2 linked regions of the Macaca fascicularis genome follow. The protein of the gene in region 1 interacts with the protein of each later gene in a biochemical or structural test. Links are inferred from orthologs where the notes say so. Each region holds a gene or a part of one and is shown on either strand. Other genes may lie near its edges.

Region 1 (7,083 bases):
CCAGGGCCACAGTCAGAGCCACCAGCTGCACCCACCCAGATGCAATGCCACCTAATCCAGCACCTCCCTTCATACCTTCCCCAAGGGAGCAGAGCAAGAACCAAGATCCTGGCCTGTCCCCTCCTCACTCACACACATACACGCATGTACACGTAGTACAGGTCTACACACGTGCGCTCGCCCTCCGCATGCACATTCATGAAAACTCCCACAGATGCGCACGTGCGCACACCACCTCTTTCTGCTTCTTGATGATGTGGGACAGCTCTGTGTAGGGGATGCGGGGATTCAGCTCACACTCCATCAGTGTCGCTCCCTCGTAGTCCTTGATGTAGCCCAGGTATCGGCTTTTGGGCACCTTGATGTCCTTGGAGAAACCCTGGGGGGTGGATGGTCATGACCCAGTCCATCCATATTTCCCAACTTCTGTAGTCCCTCCCCTGGGAGCACCAGAGGGGTGGCACGTGCCATGTGACACCTCCTGCTCCTGAACCTCCTCCTGGGGCACTGAGGGTTTGAACTGTCCCTGGAAAGGTCCCAGGTCAGCTGCCCACTCCTGACTCATCCCGAAGAGCCCCCCAGTTCCTTCAGGCTGCTCTACTGGCCCCCCAGTTCCTCCAGGCTGCTCTACTGGCCCCCCAGTTCCTCCAGCCTGCTCTACTGGCTCCCCAGTTCCTCTGGCCTTCTCTACTGGCCCCCCAGTTCCTCCAGCTTGCTCTACTGGCCCCCCAGTTCCTCCAGCTTGCTCTACTGGTCCCCCCAGTTCCTCCAGGCTGCTCTACTGGCCCCCCAGTTCCTCCAGGCCACTCTACTGGCCCCCCAGTTCCTCCAGCCTGCTCTACTGGCCCCCAGTTCCTCCGGCCTTCTCTACTGGCCCCCCAGTTCCTCCAGCCTGCTCTACTGGCCCCCCAGTTCCTCCAGGCTGCTCTACTGGCCCCCCAGTTCCTCCGGCCTGCTCTGACTCCCCAGTTCCTCTGGCCTTCTCTACTGGCCCCCCAGTTCCTCCAGCCTGCTCTACTGGCCCCCCAATTCCTCCAGCCTGCTCTACTGGCCCCCCAGTTCCTCCAGCCTGCTCTACTGGCCCCCAGTTCCTCCGGCCTTCTCTACTGGCCCCCCCAGTTCCTCCAGGCTGCTCTACTGGCCCCCCAGTTCCTCCAGGCTGCTCTACTGGCCCCCCAGTTCCTCCAGGCTGCTCTACTGGCCCCCCAGTTCCTCCGGCCTGCTCTACTGGCCCCCCAGTTCCTCCGGCCTGCTCTACTGGCCCCCCAGTTCCTCCGGCCTGCTCTACTGGCTCCCCAGTTCCTCCGGCCTTCTCTACTGGCCCCCCAGTTCCTCCAGCCTGCTCTACTGGCCCCCCAGTTCCTCCAGGCTGCTCTACTGGCCCCCCAGTTCCTCCAGCCTGCTCTGACTCCCCAGTTCCTCTGGCCTTCTCTACTGGCCCCCCAGTTCCTCCAGCCTGCTCTACTGGCCCCCCCAGTTCTTCCAGCCTGCTCTGGCTCCCCAGTTCCTCTGGCCTTCTCTACTGGCCCCCCAGTTCTTCCAGCCTGCTCTACTGGCCCCCCAGTTCCTCCAGCCTGCTCTACTGGCCCCCCCAGTTCCTCCAGGCTGCTCTACTGGTCCCCCAGTTCCTCCAGGCTGCTCTACCGGCCCCCCAGTTCCTCCGGCCTGCTCTACCGGCCCCCCAGTTCCTCCGGCCTGCTCTACCGGCCCCCCAGTTCCTCCGGCCTGCTCTACTGGCCCCCCAGTTCCTCCAGCCTGCTCTACTGGCCCCCCAGTTCCTCCAGCCTGCTCTACTGGCCCCCAGTTCCTCCGGCCTTCTCTACTGGTCCCCCAGTTCCTCCAGGCTGCTCTACTGGCCCCCCAATTCCTCCAGCCTGCTCTACTGGCCCCCCAGTTCCTCCAGCCTGCTCTACTGGCCCCATAGGCCCCCATTCTCCCCTGGGGCAGTGGCAGCAGAGGAAAGAAGATAGGCATGGAGACTTTCCTGGCAGGTGTCAGGTGAAGTAGGGGACATAAAGGGACTCCTACTCCATCAACAGAGGGGCTGGACAGAATGACCCCAGGCTTCAGGCAAAGGACCAGTGTGGGATAAGGCTACGGGTCACCTGCTTTTTGAAGTAGCCGATGGCGTACTCGTCCGCGTAGGTGAGGAAGTAGAGAATGTTGTGCTTGATATGATACTCCTTCAGGTGGTTCATCAGGTGGGTCCCATAACCCTGTGGGGGAGGGGAGCAGGACTCACCAGGAGCTGAGGATGGGCCTGGTGCTGGAGAGGTCTCAGAGCCCAGAGTGGAGCGGGTGGATTGGAAAGGAGGTGGGGAAAGGGAGAGCATCCAGGCAAAGAGAAAGAAAGGCAGCTGACAGAGGGAGGGGAGTTTATGGGAGAAAGTGAAAGGTAGAGGCTTTCTAAGCTCACTCTGGGCCAGGTGCAGTGCTTCCTGTTTTACAGACCGATTCTCAACCCCAGAGGCGAGTAGTACCACCTCTATTTTAGAAAAGAGAAAACTGAAACTCAGCTATGTTAGGAAATGCGTTCAAGGTCAGGCTGCCAGCCGTGGCAGGGCCGGGTCCAAACCCAACACAGGCCAGCAATTCTCAGTCCCTGGGCCTCAGAGTTGGGAGAGGAGGGAGAGGGAGTCACCAGAGGCCTGAGCAGGAGCAATGGCTCCCACACATCAGGGCCAACGATGCGCCACGCAGATCTGAGGTATGTGACACACAGAGCCAGCGACCCTACGAGGGGGTCTGTTGTAACAAAGGACAGAAGCCAAGGCTATCAGCATAGGACTACTGTAATAACGGTTAGTTCGGCTGGTCACCATGGCTCACACCTGTAATCCCAGCACTTTGGGAGGCCGAGGCAGGTGAATCACTTGAGGTCAGGAGTTGGAGACTAGCCTGGGCAACATGGTAAAACCCTGTCTCTACTAAAACACAAAAGTTAGCCAGATGTAATGGCGCATGCCTGTAGTCCCAGCTACTTGGGAAGCCAAGGCACGAGAATCACTTGAGCCTGGGAGGTCAAGGCTGCAGTGAGCCCTGATCATGCCTCTGCACTCCGGCCTGGCTGAGAGAGACCCTGTTTCAAAAAATAAATAAAAAATAAAAATTAAAGTAATTAATTCCCCCATGTATGTAAATGTTCTTGTGATGAAGAAAATCCTAGTCCACAGGTCACCAAAGCGTGGCCGCTTCTTGGGCTCTGTCTGTGAACAGGTGGTTTCCTAATCCACAGTTATCAAAGTACGGCTGCCACCTTGTGGGGATGTGAGGAACGGGCCACTAAGAGAAGAGCAAGGGGCTGCTGCATCCCACACCTCCCGCTGCTCCGAGCTGGCCCAAACTCCGGAGCGAGCCGTGGGCTGGGGAGCGGCACTCACCTTGACCTGCTCATTCGAGGTGACAGCACAGAAGACAATCTCCGTGAAGCCCTGGGTGGGAAACATGCGGAAGCAGATGCCACCGATGACCCGCCCATCCTTGATCAAGGCCAGAGTCTTGTGCTTCCTAAGAGAGAGGTGGGCACGTCACAGCCCCTGCCTGTTTCCTTCAGGTCCCCAGAGCCCTGGAAGTCTGAACTGTAGTCAGGGTTGGGCAGTGAGAAATAAGAATGCTCAAAGGTTGAACTTCAGAAGTGGGGAGCAGGGGATCTCCAATTTTGAGGAGTCAAGAGGCCGAGGAGGAAGGGACCCGGGGGTCCTGCCCTGGGGGAGGGGCTCTCTGGGGGACGCACGGGTCAAAGACGAGGCGGGCGATATACTCCTTAGGCATGCGTGGCAGCTGGTGGGAAAAGACATTCTGCAGCCCCACGAGCCAGAGCAACACCCGCCGGTTGGCCTTGGGCGTCACCGAGTTGCCGATGACGTGGAACTCAATGATGCCACGGCGCTCCTCCAGGCGGGCTGTCTCATCCCGGGCCGCATTGGCCGAAAGCAGGCTCGTCTGGGCACAGAAGAGGGGCGGTGAGCTGGGGTTTCAGGTTGGTGGGGGTCCCCCAACTGGTCAGCAGGTCGGGCTGCCCACCTCAGGCCCCAGCATGGCAGCAGGGTCAGTGATGGTCAGCATGACCTCATTGACTAGCTCCATGGGGATGTCGCCCATCACACGGAGCCTCTTGGCATCCTCCAGGGTCAGGTTCTCCGGGAGCTTCCTCTTCTCGCCTATTGCGGAGGCAGGCAAGGTTGGTCAGGATCAGTAAAAAAAGGTTTGGGAAGGAGTGAATGATGGTCAGAGGTCAGGGATCAAGTATCTACCTGGCATAGGCTCGGCCCCTGCAGAATCCAGACTCAGGGAGCTGTTGCTGCCTCCGCCCATGCTGGGGCTGAAGATGGGGGTGCTGGGAACAACTGCTGCACTGACCGAAGCTGAGGAGAGAGAGAGAGAGGTCAGGGACAGGGGGACTGAAGCTGAGACAGAGAGAGAGAGAAGTCAGGGACGGGAGGGCTGAAGCTGGTGACAGGTCCCTCAGTGGGATCCAGGGCCTCTGGCCCAGCTGAGCCCTCTTCCACCCAGGAGGCTTAGCTCAGCCAGGCAGGCCAGACACCCTACAGAGCATACCATGGCACATACCTGGCCGGGGTACCAGCTGTGTCCCCTCTGAGGGTGGCATGGTGAAGCCTGACTCCCAGATTGGAGAGTTTGCCCCATAGATCTCCTCCTCCAGCATGGACAGGAATCTGTAGGGAGGACACAGTCTGTCCCACAACTCTGTTCTCCAAGGGTGCAGCCTGGGCCAGGCGGCAGAGGGACTGGAGGCTGGTCAGAGCAGACCCTGCTCTTAGGGAACTGGGGACCTGAAAGAGGGGACAGCCCCTGTCTTCTGGGAGCCTCCAATTGAAGGTAAGACAACAGGACACATCCAGGACAGAGATCAAAGAAGCTCAGTTTCACCATGCTGTGTAGCACAGGGAGACAGGTCTGAGCTGATGTCATCCTGTGCTGTGTGGCCAGGGAGGGCACCTTGTCACCCTGAATCCCCTCACTGCCCTCAGTATCACAATGGGCTCAGACTCCACCCCACCTTGCCATCTCTTGTTCCCACCTGATGGCGGAGGGCACTAGAGAGCCAGGATTCGTCAGTGAGGGTTTTTTGAACAGGGGAGTTATGACCCAGATTTTAAAAGGTGTGGCCGAACAGAAGAAAATTGTACAGAAAAGACCAGAACAGGAGTAGAAATTGGTTTCACTTCAAGCATAAGCTCTGATTTCTTGGAGAGCTGTGCAGGGAAGGAGTCTGAGGCTGTGTCCAGGCCCCCATGGGAAACAATTAGTAACATCTACCGGGGCGTAGGGTGGGGTGGGGGCAGCGTTAGCTTGGGCTATGTACCTGCCATCCCCAGACTAGTACTAGCAAGTTGCTTCTGGGCCATGGGCAAGTCTGCCAGGTAGACGCCCAGATCCCAGAAGGCCCATGGAGGGAGAGGAGGGACCAATCCAGGAAGCCTTCCTGGAAAAAAGGGGACAACAGGGAGGATGTGAACTTGGGGCCAAATCCTGATAGGCCAGAAGGAGCCTTACTTGGGGAAGTGAGTGAGGATGAGGGTCCTCTTCTCGGGCACCAATTTGTCCTTCTCCACTCGGAACTTTTCCAGCAGCTGCCGGCGGGTAACGGTGAAAATGGACCGGAGAAGGCTTCGCCCAAAGACATGAGTGGTTTCGTAGCGGGGGAGACTATCACAGCTCTGGGGCACGTGGCAGTAACAGAGCCATCTGGAGTAGGGAGTTGAGGGGGAGACAGGTGAGGGCGGAAACCACTGAACCCAGGCTGGGCCTGCCAGCCTCCCCCTAAGCTGCCCCTGGCTGGGCCTACCTGGTGTAATTGACCTTGTAGGTAGCCACATCTTCAGCCTGAGACCTCTGCCGAAACTGGGCAGGTGTCTCAAGCTTCCAGTAGTTAAGGCAGAGCAAGAACATCTTTGAGAGCTCGAACATCGTCTGCCGCTCCCGGGGAGCCAGGTGACTAAACTTGTACTGCACAAAGTTCAGCACACCCTGAGAAGGGGTGGGTGGGGAACAAAACCAGGAATGAGATGTGAGCAGCCTGCAGGGCCTTCTTAGACAAAGGAAGAGGCTCCCTGAGGCCAGGGACAAGGTTCTCCTCTCTCTCTCGGGTGCTCTCTATAGAAAAGCTCTGCCCCCTCCCTACCACCATGCCCACCCTGAGGTTAGCACAAAACACCCTCCCTTCTCTGAACCTCCCCACTGTTCTCAGCTTGAGGAGGATGGAGAACACAGGCTCCCCACTCCTCCAAGCTGTCCCCAATTCTCCTCTCCGCTATCTCCAATTTCCCTATCCCACCTGCTCAATATTAGGTTTCTCAAACGGAGGGCTGCCCAGGGACCCCTCCACCACGGGCCGGGTCATCTGCAGGATGCACTTCCGCAGGAGCTAGAGAGAAGAGGAAGGGGCATAGAGGGGAGCGGGGCAGAGCTGCAGACAACCCCTCAAGACCCCACCTCCTTCATTCACACCCTCCTTCAGTAGAAGCTCACCTTGAAGAGGTAGAAATAGACCTGCTTGGTGTCTGTGTCCTCCTCCTTGTGAACAGACATGAAGAGATTCTCCACATCCACCACCATCCCCAGCAGCCGGTTTATTTCATCCTCTGACACATTCTCCAAGTGAGATACGTGGTCAGCTGCAAGACAGATGGCAGAGTTGGGAAAAATTGATAGAAGAAATCAACAAGGCTTCTTGACCCTCTTCACAGCCAACCAAGATGCACACTCCGTCCCTCCAACCAGTGTGACCAATAGTGAGACTGACTGCTGCGATAACAGCCATTGGGTTGCCTGGGCCTGTTCTGGGCTGAGAGATTTCCTTTCCCCTCCCTTGGTGCATACACACCCCCCAACCCAATCCCTCCTTCGAGGCATCTTTGATTTTTCAGAGATGAGGCTTTGTGGCACTTGTCACCCTGTCCAAGCAGCTGCCCCCAGCTCCAAGGGCGCTGCCTGCCTTACCCAAGGGATGCTCACAACTGCGGCACAGCTCACTCAGGTTGGCAGCTGGCTGCTGCAGATCCATGCGGGGTGCAGTGGGGGGCTTGGGGTTTTTCCAGCCATTACACTTACAGGTTTCAT
Region 2 (7,155 bases), on another chromosome or scaffold:
CCCCATCTCTACTAAAAATACAAAAATTAGCCGGGCATGGTGGTGGGCGTCTGTCATCCCAGCTACTTGGGAGGCTGAGGTGGGAGGATCGCTTGAACCCGGGTGGGTGGGGGCGGGGTAGAGGAGGTGGTGGTGGAGGTGGCAGTGAGCTGAGAAGTGCTCCAGCCTGGGCGACAGAGCGAAACTCCGCCTCAAAAAACCAAAAAAACCACAAGTCTATTTTTTCTCTCTATTATTCTACCTGACCTTAAGGGATACTAAGGAAAGGGTGAGAATGGTGTAGGAGATGTAGAACTCCCAGAGATGGGACGTTGAGGAGGAAGAAACACAAGAGCTTTCAGATTCATCTGTTATATGGGATAAAAGAAAAAAAGAAGAGCTTTCAGGAAAGATTTCTAAGGCCGCTGGAGTCACACCAGCAATTAATGCCTGACAGCAAAGTTACCCTTTCCCGGCTGTTGCTGAAATCTAAGGGATGATGATGAGGTGGACAAGGGAGCGTGGAGAAAAAGATTGAAGGGATATTAAGGAAGCAACTGACTGGACATGCTGAGACGAAGGGAAGAGTAGAGTAGATTTCGGCTTAGTTATCTGTAAGTATGCTGGCGCATTTCAGGAAGAGGGCAAAGAGGGGAGGTTGTTTGCAGGAGTTCGCGTTCGAATAGGCTGAGGTTGAGTTTGAGTTTGAGGTGCTCGTTGGGACAAGTAGTAGATTGAAGTATTCAGTAAGCAGTTAGGCACAAGGGTCTGAGCTTCTGAAACAAATTTGGATGTTAGTTGAAAGCATATAAATGGGTAAGACTCTTCGGGATAAGTGAAGAATTGGAGATAGAGAAGCAGAATCCAGCTGGACTCGCAGATTTAGAGATGGCATGGGGAAGCAGGATAAGAAAAGTCGGCGAGCTAAGAAGAAAAACGCAGGGCGACATTTTGAAAGCCAAGGGAGTAAGCTTCAAGGCCGCCTCCTGGAGGTCAAGAAGATGACAGATCTAGCCTTGGTCAAACTGAATTCCAAGGAGTGCAGGCGGGTGGGGGTGGGGCGGAGTCGCTGCGGGCGACTTAAGTTGAGGGGCGAGAAAGGAGGCAGCCTTAGTAGTACTTGTATTTTTAAAGGGAATTTGGCTGTGACGAGACAGAAAGGGCGGAACTTAGTAGTTTAGAGCTCAAGGGGATAATTGGCTTCAGAATCCCCTACTCTTGCGTGAGAGTAACTCTCAGTCTACGGATGTCTTCTGCAGTTTCTTAGGGTCCATGTTGGGATTTACCGGCTGTAAACTAAACAAAGCAAAGCAAAACCCCATAGTACAAGACATTTTGTTTGAAAGCCTACTTTCTTTAAAGATCCTGCCATGCAAATAAGGGGCTTTAATGTGGCTCTCAGCGATTGGTAGATACTTACGAAATCCGTCATTTCCTTTCAGGGCAGGATGCAAACCAAGAGGCGGCTTTCTGTTTTTCTATTGGCTGTTGGATACGGCTCCGCTTTTAGCCAATCAAACGACTTCCCTTCACCCCTCCCGGTAGCTCTTATAAATTACATCAAATTGGTTATTCTTTCCACATTCTTCTCCTTGTAAAAGAAGCTGTAACTGCAATTTTAGCCGTAATGTCAGGACGCGGAAAGCAGGGAGGCAAGGCCCGCGCTAAGGCCAAGTCGCGCTCGTCCCGCGCTGGCCTCCAGTTCCCGGTGGGGCGAGTGCACCGCTTGCTGCGCAAGGGCAACTACGCGGAACGGGTGGGGGCAGGCGCCCCGGTGTACCTGGCGGCGGTCCTCGAGTACCTGACCGCGGAAATTCTGGAGCTAGCAGGCAACGCGGCTCGGGACAACAAGAAGACGCGCATCATCCCTCGCCATCTGCAACTAGCCGTGAGGAATGACGAAGAGCTCAACAAGTTACTCGGGGGTGTCACCATTGCCCAGGGCGGCGTCTTACCCAATATCCAGGCTGTCCTGTTGCCCAAGAAAACGGAGAGTCACAAGCCTGGCAAGAACAAGTAATTAAGAGGCTTGACACCATACTCATTCACCCCAAAGGCTCTTTTAAGAGCCACCAAAGTGTCAAATGAAGGGCTGATCACGAAATAGCGCATTAGCTCTTTTTTTGAAAACTTGGGTGGCTCTAAAAAGAGCCTTTGGTCTTTGGTTTGTTTGTCTGCATTTATTTGCTTTTGGCTTTGTGGCTTTCAGTTTTCTTTGGTAACAGAACGGCCTGGATGTTAGGCAAAACGCCGCCCTGGGCGATGGTGACTTTGCCCAGCAGCTTGTTCAGTTCCTCGTCGTTGCGGATGGCCAGCTGGAGGTGACGAGGGATGATGCGCGTCTTCTTGTTGTCCCGAGCCGCGTTGCCCGCCAGCTCCAGGATCTCGGCGGTCAGGTACTCGAGGACCGCCGCCATGTAGACTGGCGCGCCAGCCCCCACCCGCTCCGCGTAGTTGCCTTTGCGCAGCAAGCGGTGCACTCGCCCTACCGGGAACTGGAGGCCAGCGCGGGACGAGCGCGACTTGGCCTTGGCGCGAGCCTTGCCTCCTTGTTTGCCACGACCAGACATGACTGAAACCAAGGTTAAACACAGACAATGCTCAGAACCTCGCTACAAAATAAGCTTGAAAGAGAACCAAGAGGAAAGCCTTTATAAGCTTTCCTAGGGGTGGGGTCTAGAACGAGTTTTTCATTGGTCCTAATATGGCTTCAGAACCGGCCAATCAAGTCAAGAGTCGGTGTTGTTGCGTACGCATTGCTGAAAACGCAAGGTCCGCACACGGACCAATGGAAATGAATGACTTTCGGAGCCCTAATTTGCATAAGGTGGTTATAAAAGAATCAGGCCCGCCCATTCTCTTACTTCTTTTCTTGGCTAAGCCGCGTTTGTACTGTGTCTTACCATGCCTGAACCGGCAAAATCCGCTCCGGCTCCTAAAAAGGGCTCCAAGAAAGCCGTCACCAAAGCCCAGAAGAAAGACGGCAAGAAGCGCAAGCGCAGCCGCAAGGAGAGCTACTCCATCTACGTGTACAAGGTGCTGAAGCAGGTCCACCCCGACACCGGCATCTCGTCCAAGGCCATGGGCATCATGAACTCCTTCGTCAACGACATTTTCGAGCGCATCGCGGGAGAGGCGTCCCGCCTGGCGCACTACAACAAGCGCTCCACCATCACGTCCCGCGAGATCCAGACGGCCGTGCGCCTGCTGCTGCCCGGCGAGCTGGCCAAGCACGCCGTGTCCGAGGGCACCAAGGCAGTCACCAAGTACACCAGCTCCAAGTGAGTCCCTGCCGGGACCTGGCGCTCGCTCGCTCGAGTCGCCGGCTGCTTGACTCCAAAGGCTCTTTTCAGAGCCACCCACCTAATCACTAGAAAAGAGCTTGTTCACTTACTCCCTTAGTTTCTTCTCATAAAGTAATTTTAGCGTAAAGGTCATGGGAAATGCCACACGTAGGTTTTTAACCATTTGGAACTTGAGGTCCCCGGTGCATGATTGGATTTGCTTTTGAATCTAGAGCGTGTCTTCACTCATTGTGCTGCTTAGCATTCCCAGGAGTCGGTTCTCAATTAGGATGTTGGGAATCCGCCTCTTTACCCGCCCCCACTCCCGCCCCACACTGGCGCCCTGGTGGCTTCTTGGGTCTGTTTCATTCTAAAACGAAGTGGCTGAGTTCGGCTGTTATTTAAGAGAACTCCAGGGCACGATTCAGCCCAGGTTCCGCAAACACTGCGTGACAGCTGTGTATGACTGACGCTTGGCAGCACCTTTTGTGTCCGGTCACCAGTTCTGCTGTGCGATGGGGTCTCCTGTGGATACCAGCCGTTCTGTGTATTTTGGACGAAGCCCGCGCAGCCGGGTCCCAGCCTTTTCCTGATTGGGCGACATGAATATTCAAAATTCTGCGCCTCTTTCTAATTTGTAGATTTCAGTTTCCGTCGTTCACTTTGAGACTTTGAAATTCCTATTTCTCGTTTTGTTGATAATTTTTGCATTTAATGGTCTCTGCTTTAAAGGGTAAGGCTGCGGCCCCAGGTCACTGCGAGGCACTTACCGTGTAGATACGGGCTCAAAAGTCACCTGTCAGAGATCTACGTCATCCACTAAGGAATTCGCGCCGCTCATACTTGCCTGTCTCATTTTATCTTCCTTCTAGCAGCTGTCTGAAATTGGTTCGTCTGTTTTCTTGTTTATGGTATTCTCAAGCCCTTGACCGGCTGGTGTGGTTTTCCCGTGCATCTTCAGCCTGGCACATTATGGACACTTACCTAAATACTACGTATTGATGTAATATTGTTGGGTTAGTTTTTCCATCCCATCGTTTTCTTAATCGCTTTCGTGGATGGATGATGGGTGCTGTTCATTTCCGTTAGATGTATGTGAAGGCACGGTGAAAATGGAAATGTTTTTGGAGCTACTTCCTCAAATGTGTCCTTAGTCACCTCAGTGCAACAGCTGGGAGGGGGCCGTGTTAAGATTTTTTTTGCATCAAAGAGGAGGTGGCAATGGTAGATCCACCCTTACGCTTCCCAGTTTAGCATAACCTCTTTTGGATTTTCATCAAATTCAGCGTATTGGTCACTGGAAAGAGCCTTTTCCTTCTTTTCTTACTCTCCCCTCTTGGTGTTCCCCTCTTAAAGGAGAGGAGCTTTTAATTGACAGTCATCACCTCATTTTTTTTTTTTTTTTTTTTTTTTTTTTTTTTTTTTTTTTTTTTTGAGACGGAGTCTCACGCTGTTGCCCAGGCTGGAGTGCAGTGGCGCGATCTCGGCTCACTGCAAGCTCCGCCTCCCGGGTTCCCGCCATTCTCCTGCCTCAGCCTCCTGAGTAGCTGGGACTACAGGCGCCCGCCACCGCGCCCGGCTAATTTTTTGTATTTTTAGTAGAGACGGGGTTTTTTTTCACTGTGGTCTCGATCTCCTGACCTTGTGATCCGCCCGCCTCGGCCTCCCAAAGTGCTGGGATTACAGGCTTGAGCCACCGCGCCCGGCCATCATCACCTCATTTGCTTTCCAGGAGGCCATGCAAGATAGGCAGGACTACAGGGTTAATCTCCTTTTTACAAATGAGGCCAAGGGAAGCCTCATTGGTTCACAGTCATGCAGCTCATACTGTCCACCCTTGTATTCTCAGATGCAGGACAATTGCATTTTAGTTTTATTTTGTGGAGGTACAGAATATTTACTCTTTCTGTCCAACCCTTGATTCTGCCGAGGAAGACACTGATGGTTTGATGAGTGATTCAACTCTGTTTTTGGCTAAGGGTTTTGGAGTTGATAGCAGGGGTCTGATGAATCCAAATGAGCTCTAGACATTATCACAGACTGAATAAATCTTTTTTTTTTTTTTTTTTTTTTTTTTTTGAGACGGAGTCTCACGCTGTTGCCCAGGCTGGAGTGCAGTGGCGCGATCTCGGCTCACTGCAAGCTCCGCCTCCTGGGTTCACGCCATTCTCCTGCCTCAGCCTCCTGAGTAGCTGGGACTACAGGCGCCCGCCACCGCGCCCGGCTAATTTTTTGTATTTTTAGTAGAGACGGGGTTTTTTTTCACTGTGGTCTCGATCTCCTGACCTTGTGATCCGCCCGCCTCGGCCTCCCAAAGTGCTGGGATTACAGGCTTGAGCCACCGCGCCCGGCCAGACTGAATAAATCTTAACTGTCTCCTACATGTGTGTTTTCAAATGTGTGTAGATGCTATTGTTATTAATAAAGTTACCAATTAAAGGCTTTGCTGGATTCTTTTATCTACAGTATATATTTCTCAATGAAGGAAATTAACAGATACAACTTACACAGGGTCTATAGAAAAGCATGGGTGCCTCTGATCTGGGGGATGACTATTTATAAGCCACCAGCCAAACTGCTGCCCCAAAGGTGCACTAGGGCTGAAATAGTCGCTTACAAGGCCACTGTTAATGCTTAGTAATTGAAAAATATATGATCACAAATAGAAAGCAGTACAAATAAGATGGAAGAACTAAAGTTCATAATGAAGTTAAGCTAACACCTACGGAGCACTTACTGTGTGCCAGGTAGTGTTCTAGGCCCTTTATACATATTGACTCATCTAATTCTCACCAGGACCTCAGGAAGTAGTACCATTATTATCACCCATTTTACAGATAAGGAAACTGAGGCAAAGAGAAGCCTTTCTTCAGAAACTCTCCAGAGGATAAGCTCCTAGGTTAGCAGTTAAGGGACTTGAGAAACAGGGTCATTCTGAAAACCTGGACCCTTCCCTGTGTTTTAGGGGGAAATATCTATGCTTTAGAATTGAAAAGAAATATCACTGGTTTTATTCTCTTCTGAGTGCACGCTGGATGTAAATCCTGGGTCGTGGTGGCTGAGTACATTGAGGGTGGGATTAGGTGGCTGTGAGCCTCCATCCCAGAAGCCATAGCTCAACTCAATTGAGTTTGTCCCCACAGTGGTGGGGCTCACCAGCTGGAATCCTTTCACTAACATGAGAGAACCTTAGTTGCTGGTTTTGGGCTCCTCCTGGGGATGATGTTCACTGGGAAGGATGTTACAGAGTGAGGAAGGGGGAGGAGGTGATAGATTTGATATTTTAACTCTGGAGGAGAAGTAATTGGTGAGATTAATCTTCAAGAACCTCTTTGATCATTTCTCCTGCTCAGACATCTTTAAACATTTGCTTTTGTTGGGGTTAATAACAATAATTGTTAATTACTGAGCACTTAACTGTTTACCTTAAACTTACTTAGCAGTAAGCTAAGAGTTTACCTTACACTTACTTAGCAGGATGGTCTCTATCTGACCTCGTGATCTGCCCGCCTCGGCCTCCCAAAGTTCTGGAATTACAAGCGTGAGCCACCGTGCCCAGCCTACAGCCACTTGTTAAGATAGGTTCTGTTGGCCGCACGCAGTGGCTCACACCTGTAATCCCAGGTGGGTGGATCATTTGAGGTCAGGAGTTCAAGACCAGCCTGGCTAACATGGTGAAACCCCACCTCTACTAAAAATACAAAAGTTGGCATGGTGGTGGGCGCCTATAGTCCCAGCTACTCAGGAGGCTGAGGCAGGAGAATCCCTTGAACCTGGGAGGTGGAGGCTGCTGCCACTGCACTGCAGCCTGGGTGACAGAGGAAAACACAATCTAAAAAAAAAGGACCAGAAGGACACTGTCATAGCTTGTAATATTGCTTATCAATAATTC

The links.
Region 2: of the proteins of KAT2A (region 1) and H2BC21, one has a biochemical effect on the other in vitro, tested with the Homo sapiens proteins (2 studies listed by BioGRID). The link is inferred for Macaca fascicularis from reciprocal best matches to the Homo sapiens genes KAT2A and H2BC21.

What each region holds. Positions count from the first base shown.
Region 1 is NC_088390.1:63,158,807-63,165,889, forward strand, and holds part of KAT2A (histone acetyltransferase KAT2A), read right to left. Parts: coding exon 6,964-7,083; intron 6,639-6,963; coding exon 6,493-6,638; intron 6,389-6,492; coding exon 6,299-6,388; intron 5,992-6,298; coding exon 5,810-5,991; intron 5,710-5,809; coding exon 5,518-5,709; exon of another isoform or gene 5,327-5,517; intron 4,677-5,326; coding exon 4,570-4,676; intron 4,365-4,569; coding exon 4,254-4,364; intron 4,161-4,253; coding exon 4,024-4,160; intron 3,943-4,023; coding exon 3,734-3,942; intron 3,508-3,733; coding exon 3,381-3,507; intron 2,217-3,380; coding exon 2,106-2,216; intron 380-2,105; coding exon 236-379; intron 1-235. UniProt on the Homo sapiens protein: Protein lysine acyltransferase that can act as a acetyltransferase, glutaryltransferase, succinyltransferase or malonyltransferase, depending on the context.
Region 2 is NC_088375.1:111,387,608-111,394,762, forward strand, and holds H2BC21 (histone H2B type 2-E), read left to right. Parts: upstream 1-2,841; 5' UTR 2,842-2,883; coding exon 2,884-3,264; 3' UTR 3,265-4,544; downstream 4,545-7,155. Other genes in the region: H2AC21 (histone H2A type 2-B), read left to right, coding at 1,607-1,999; H2AC20 (histone H2A type 2-C), read right to left, coding at 2,160-2,549. UniProt on the Homo sapiens protein: Core component of nucleosome. Nucleosomes wrap and compact DNA into chromatin, limiting DNA accessibility to the cellular machineries which require DNA as a template.